Kluyveromyces lactis: one gene and its partner. The protein of the gene in region 1 interacts with the protein of each later gene in a pairwise test. Links are inferred from orthologs where the notes say so. Each region holds a gene or a part of one and is shown in the gene's direction. Other genes may lie near its edges. The genes, in order: STE24 and ERG11.

Region 1 (3,617 bases):
TTTACGAAATACTTTCAAATCAGACAACGCTTGCTTAATGAGAAAGCTTGTCATGTTCCAATTGTTAGTGTCAGTGTATAAATATAGGTGCATTTTCTCACTCACTTTGGTATTAAATACGACAGGCGCAACCTACTACTTAGAGGAAAAGGAAAGGAAACCAGCTCTGATAAGTAAGAAAGACGGTGACAGTAGTAATTACTAATAATTAATATTAATGCTTGAGAAATTGAGTAGTTACTTCACGGGACCAGAGTTGTCTGATCCATTGCTAAGCTGGTCATTTGATCCATCTTCTGAAAACTTGTACTATAGACATTTGCATGAAGCCTTGATATCTTTTGTGGTGTATCAATTCATTCTATATCCATTTGTGGTGCCAAAACTTAACGAATGGTTCTTCAAAGAGCATTACACAGAAAGGGATGAACCTGACAAAATTAATTTCGATATTCATACCGTGTCTATGATCCAGAGCGTTGTCTCCCTGTACTTGATCTGGCCGTTATTATGGATTCCTTTTGGATTTAATGTGGCAACTTACTACAATTCTTATGCTTCCATGGTTTCTGCCGTTAGTATTGGGTATTTCATGTGGGATCTGTATATCTGTCTGAGGTACTTCAAATTGTTCGGTATTGGATTCTTGTTCCACGCTGTGGCAGCATTCGCTGTTCTGACCATTACCTTGCACCCGGTATGCCAAGCATGGATCGGAAGATTCTTGTCATTCGAGGCCTCAACTCCGTTTGTCAACATCAATTGGTACATCATCCAATTGTCCCGTGGATCCTCGAAGCAGGTGGTTCCTACCTGGTTCAACGTATTGAATGGGTTCTTGTTGATCTCAGTATTTTTCTTCGTCAGATTGGTATGGGGGTTCGTCGCTGTTGCGATTTTGATCTACGAGATGTGGCAAGTGTGGGATCAAATCCCATTATACATGACTGCCGTTATCTTGGGTATCAACGTCTCACTAGACTTCTTGAATATCCACTGGTTCTCTAAGATGTTGAAAATTGCTAAAAAGATGGCTAATGGATCTAAAAGAGTCTCCAAAATTGATTGAGTCCTTATCGTTGTCAGATCAGATCAGATCTGCTGACTGATTGTCTGTTTCATTATATATAAAAATCAACGTACTACATAGAAATGCCCAGCACCAAAACTGGATTTATAAGAAATAAAGATCACACGGTTATGAATTCTTCGCCAGATTCACTGATCAATTGAAGTAGTCAGCTAACCTTCAGGAGTGTTCCAAAGGGATATATTTGCCCATTTGAACGTGTGTGCCTTTTATTTTCGCAGGCACTAAATTCTCATCATGACCTTTAAGTGAGCATAAAATTTGAAAATACAAAACCGCAAAGAACTGCATTGACTTGTTTGAAGAATATAGAAGGAGAGAAGGCTAGAGTACTTGGTATTATTCGAACAGTGTGCTTCTAGTGCTTCATTTCCCCTTTATTTACCAGGGCTTTACTAAGTTAGGCAAGAAACACCGTTAGGAGCTGATTATCTGGCAATTTTGATTCGAATCATTAAATATATTCCTTTCTGCTTCTTTGCATATTGAACTAAAAATAAAGGTCAATTAACACTTAGCTTCGAGAAGAAAACATAGATTGTAGGGCATTGATCACCTCATTATAGTTATATTAATGATGGGAATTGTTGACATACTTCAAGATATCCTGGATTCATCTTCCATACCATGGAAAACCATTATTACGGGGTTCACTGTGGCGCAATTTGGATTTGAAACCTATTTGACTTACCGTCAATATTTGGCTCTATCCAATAAGAATTTGCCTCCCGTGCTAGTTGGTGAAATTGATGATGAGACGTTCCAAAAATCGGAAGCTTACTCAAGAGCCAAGTCTAAGTTTTCAATTGTATCGAATGTCATTAACTTGGCTCAGAATTTGATCTTCATCAAGTTCGATATTTTACCAAAGCTATGGCACCTGGGCAACAGCTTTGCCCAATATTTCCCAAGCAGGTTCTTTCCTACTTCTACCATTGCCCAATCCTTGTACTTTTTAACCGTCATGTCCAATTTGTCCGCTTTGATGGGTCTGCCATTGAGTTATTACCAACATTTCGTCTTGGAAGAGAAGTTTGGTTTCAACAAATTGACCATTAAGTTATGGATCTCTGATATGATTAAGAGCAGTCTGCTAGGTGCTGTCATTGGTACTCCGGTATTGTACTTGTTCTTAAAGATTTTTGAAAAATTCCCATCCAATTTCTTGTGGTACATCTGTCTATTCATTCTTGTGGTTCAAATCCTTGCTTTGACTATTATCCCAGTGTTTATCATGCCATTGTTCAACAAATTCACTCCATTAGAAGATGGCGAGTTGAAGACCGAAATTGAAAACTTGGCTAAAAAGGTAGGATTTCCATTGGACAAAATTTTCATCGTGGATGGTTCCAAGAGATCTTCTCATTCTAACGCTTATTTCACGGGTCTCCCATTTACCAGTAAGCGTATTGTCTTATATGATACCTTAGTCAACGATTCTACCACCGATGAAATTGTTGCTGTTTTGGCTCATGAAATTGGTCACTGGCAAAAATCTCATTTGTTGCGGATGCTAGCCTTCAGTGAAACTCATATTTTCTTGGTATTTTCCCTCTTCACCGCTGCTTATCAAAACAAATCATTATACAACGCATTTGGATTCTTCGCCGGTTCTGGTTCCTCATCTGATATCTCCAAGGTTATTACCCCTCAATATCCAATTATCATCGGATTCCTTTTGTTCAATGACTTATTACAACCGCTAGACTGTCTTTCTACATTTTTGACAAACTTAGTCTCAAGAGCTCATGAATACCAATCTGATGCTTACGCTAAGGAATTGGGCTACGCCCCTCATTTAGCCAGAGCATTGATCAACCTTCAAATCAAGAATCTTTCTACTATGAATGTTGATCCATTATATTCAAGTTATCATTACTCTCATCCAACGTTGGCCGAAAGATTGATCGCTATCGAATACAAGAACGAGAAGAAAGACCAGTAGTTTGCAAACAAAAAAGGCATTCAATTTACTGTTTACAGATCACTAGATAAGCAGCAGTACTTATCGTTAACAAACAGAGTGCTATTTTCAAAGTTTGTATAGTAAGATTAGTCTCTGTGGTATTTTGCAGTACATAGTTTAGCATTTTTATTATTCTATATATATGCGCTTTTTAAAGCCATAATGCAAATATTGTACCTGTTTTCCTAATATAAGATGTTAATCACCTTTATCCGTAAGACAACCACATCTTTCACTGAGTCTTGCAGCATTACAGGCCGGCATTTAGGCGTTGTTGCCGTATGTCTCTTGTTCTTTTCAATATTTACGTATACAACGACTCCAGCGTCTTTATTGCCATTTGAAAGTTAACTTGGGATTCCTTTAAAAGTTCAAACGTAACAACAATCATATAAACTGTTTGCCACTCATAAAAGGGAAGGCAACAACCCGCTCTAGAGACTGCAAAACATCTGACAGAGTACTCCAGCTTGTCAATTAAAAAGATATTCGATGTCTAGTGACGCTATGGATATTGATTCGGTCCCAGAGGCCGCGGTCGATAACAATTCTAATGAGGAT
Region 2 (3,847 bases), on another chromosome or scaffold:
AAGCATATTGGCGACCTTGTCTTGGAGAGGAAGTATCCACAAGACCATTGCATATATCAACGTATCGTGGACGCAGGTGTATCGGCGGAACTACTACTAAGAAAGATAGACGGTGGTGAAATTGAATTCATTGAAGATCCAGAAGATGCTGCCACTGAGGCTGCCACTGAGGCTGCCACTGAGGCTGAAGTCATTGAAGGAGTGACAAAGGGGTCGGAGGAAGCACCATTTGAGGATGCGACTGCAGCAGACCAGGCTACATATCTAAAGACCGACTTGGAATACACAGACGATGCTCTTGTCACTAAAGAAAACAGAGACGGTGTCATGATGGATTGGGAGACCGATATCATGTCAATGGCAGCCAAATCACTAGTATCTACCAGGTCCACAGATGAATGTGTCGTACTAAATATCGGATTTGGTATGGGGATCATAGACAATTTCATCCAGGATGAGAAAGTGACCAAACACTACATCTGTGAAGCCCATCCAGACGTACTGGCCAAAATGAAGGAAACTGGTTGGTTCGATAAAGAAAACGTTGTTATACTCGAGGGTAGATGGCAATCTCGTCTAAACGAACTTTTGGATCAAGGAGAAGTGTTTTTCGACGGCATATATTACGATACGTTCAGTGAACATTACCAAGATATGCTGGACTTGTACGACGTGATTGTCGGACTACTGAAACCAGAGGGTACGTTTTCGTTCTTTAACGGATTGGGGGCTGATAGACCCGTTTGTTACGACGTTTATCGTAAGATAGTAGAGCTAGACGTAGCAAATTATGGCATGGAATGTAGATACCAAGTGATAAACTTGAGGACCTTACCAAATTGGAACGACGTCAAGAGATCCTATTTCAACTGTACATACTACTACCATCCTGAAATCAGGTTTGCATAGCCCCCATACGAAAAAAAGCTCTTTCGGCTCGGGTATACCTCTCTAACTAGATACTTTATATCGGCCCTTGACGCATGTCATGTGACACCTCATGTAGTATGTAATAGTAAACTAATTAGCAGGTTCTGTTAAAGCCGTTCCCAGCGTAATCTGTCCTCGAGAAACTGCGTACAGAGAGGAAACGGCAAACAAACAAGATATTCATAAATCTCCTCAAATAACTACAGAGAAGGCATCTGCTGACATGAGCTGATGATAAAGATCGCTCAAAACCAAACCTACACTTAAATCCAAGAAATGGGATGAGATGAGATGAGACGATTTTCTCGCTTAGTGGTCTCCGCTAAACGATTCTTTTATGGTGCTTTAAACGAAATCTTTTTTTTTTTTTCGTTTCTTTGGTAGAACGATGAAAATGGGAAATACCATTAACAAGAAACAATCTTTATATAATGAGATGACATGACACTCGAGACAGTGAATGATAGGGAAAAGGAGATAGAGATTTATACTGAGGTTGTTGTCTCTAGTTCACACTGATAAAGCCTGTCTTTATTGAAAGGGACCAGGGAAGGATCAATATTCTGGTTTGAAAAGAGAATTACACGAGTATTGTGTATTAATCTGTTATCATTATCAGTGTTATTTTATCGTATTTTATTTTGTAAAAAAGAGTCTGAGCTTTGAATTATAGGATTAGAGTTACCAATTTATCATGTCAACGAAATCAGAATCGGTGGTTGTTAAGGTGTTTGAAGCTGCTCAAGCAGTGTTGGGCCAATTTTTGGCGTTTTCAATTGCTCAGCAGATTTCTATTGTGATCTTGTTGCCATTTGTGTACACAATTGTCTGGCAGTTGTTGTACTCGATGAGAAAAGACCGTGTTCCATTGGTATTTTACTGGATTCCATGGGTTGGTTCTGCTGTTAGTTATGGTATGAGACCATACGAGTTTTTCGAAGAATGTAGAGAAAAATACGGTGATATATTTGCGTTTGTTTTGTTGGGAAAAGTGATGACAGTTTATTTGGGACCTAAGGGTCATGAGTTCATCTTGAACGCCAAATTGGCCGATGTTTCCGCAGAAGCCGCTTATACGCATTTGACTACGCCTGTGTTTGGTAATGGTGTTATTTACGATTGTCCAAACCATCGTTTGATGGATCAAAAGAAGTTCGTTAAGGGTGCATTGACTACTGATGCATTTAGAAAATACGTGCCATTGATCGCAGAAGAAGTTCAAAAGTACTTTTTAACCTCTAAAAATTTCTCCATTGGTGAAAAAGACCATGGTAAGATCAACGTCATGGTCACTCAACCTGAGATGACCATTTTCACTGCTTCTAGATCGCTACTTGGCTCTGAAATGAGAGAAAAATTAAACACTGATTTCGCTTACTTGTACTCTGATCTAGATAAGGGTTTTACTCCTTTGAACTTTGTGTTCTCCCATTTGCCTCTAGATAACTATCGTAAGAGAGATAACGCTCAAAGAGTTATCTCTTCGACTTACTTGTCCTTGATCAAGAAGAGACGTGATACAAACGATATTCAAGATAGAGATTTGATTGATTCTTTGATGAAGAATTCTACTTACAAAGATGGTGTTAAGATGACCGACCAAGAAATCGCTAATCTATTGATTGGTGTTCTAATGGGTGGACAACATACTTCTGCTGCTACTTCTGCTTGGGTTATTTTGCACTTAGCTGAAAGACCTGACATTCAGGAAAAGTTATACGAAGAACAAATGAAGGTTTTGGATAACGGCACGAAAGAATTGACTTTCGACTTGCTACAAGAAATGCCTTTGTTAAATCAAACTATCAAGGAGACACTAAGATTGCACCATCCATTGCATTCTTTGTTCCGTAAAGTTATGAACGATATGCCTGTGCCAAACAGTTCATATGTTGTTCCAAAGGGTCATCACGTTTTGGTTTCTCCAGGTTACTGCCATCTACAAGATAAATATTTCCCAAATGCCTCAGAGTTCAATCCTAACCGTTGGGATAATGATGCTGCTTCTTCTTATGCCTCAAACGAAAAGGTGGATTATGGTTTTGGTTCCATCTCCAAGGGTGTTTCTTCTCCTTACTTACCATTTGGTGGTGGTAGACACAGATGCATCGGTGAACATTTTGCTTACATGCAATTAGGAACCATTTTGTCCAACTACATTAGAACTCTTACTTGGAAATTTGCTGATCCTTCAGCAACCGTTCCAACTCCAGATTTCCAATCTATGGTTACCTTGCCTCTAGAGCCATCTGAAATTGAATGGACATTAAGAAAGTAGAAAGTTTCTGTGTTCCACTCCTGTCATACACTGATTTCTTCATTGTTCTTAGACAATAACCAATTGTTGGGGGAGTAATCACGCAAGAACAATATTTACACCACTCATTCAGTATCCTTCTTTTTTTGATAGCATGCGATACGACTGATATTCTATTCATTGTCCCATTTTCCTCGGTAATTTCAATTCTATCTCCGTCTGATGTGATACTTCATCATTTGGATCTTTCAAATACATATTAATCATCGCCGTTTCGTGAGTAGCCGAACGCTATGATAATAAAACTGTCCATTAGTTTGTCGAATATGTAAAATTTATAAATTATATTTAAAGTTGTTTGCTTAGATCAAATATTACGCAGAAAATATACCTCATACCACAAAACCGATGTATTTAGATCAATTAACAAGCTCTTTTGGAATTGGGACCGATTTCTGCAGTGATGACGGAATCTGTAACAGGTCCTTCTCTCGGACGTTTTGTTGATGCTGCTAGGTTTGGATCGATACTATGCTCGGATATACGTCCGTCTTCAGATTCGTTGGGTGTTGAAGCACTATCAGCCTTATTCACATCAGGAGTCTCGGATATTGGGGTGACTGTCGAAGCAGGTAGTACATGTTCCTTCGCCATGTTTTC

What was found.
Region 2: the proteins of STE24 (region 1) and ERG11 interact in a protein complementation assay, tested with the Saccharomyces cerevisiae proteins (2 studies listed by BioGRID). The link is inferred for Kluyveromyces lactis from reciprocal best matches to the Saccharomyces cerevisiae genes STE24 and ERG11.

Annotation. Positions count from the first base shown.
Region 1 is NC_006040.1:924,430-928,046, reverse strand, and holds STE24 (zinc metalloprotease), read left to right. Parts: upstream 1-1,664; coding exon 1,665-3,035; downstream 3,036-3,617. Other genes in the region: TDA4 (Tda4p), read left to right, coding at 218-1,069; proteasome regulatory particle lid subunit RPN3, read left to right, coding at 3,549-3,617. UniProt on the Saccharomyces cerevisiae protein: Proteolytically removes the C-terminal three residues of farnesylated A-factor mating pheromone. Also acts to cleave the N-terminal extension of the pheromone. Does not act on Ras.
Region 2 is NC_006041.1:328,280-332,126, forward strand, and holds ERG11 (sterol 14-demethylase), read left to right. Parts: upstream 1-1,624; coding exon 1,625-3,208; downstream 3,209-3,847. Other genes in the region: RMT2 (protein-arginine N5-methyltransferase), read left to right, coding at 1-909; SPP41 (Spp41p), read right to left, coding at 3,611-3,847. UniProt on the Saccharomyces cerevisiae protein: Sterol 14alpha-demethylase that plays a critical role in the third module of ergosterol biosynthesis pathway, being ergosterol the major sterol component in fungal membranes that participates in a variety of functions.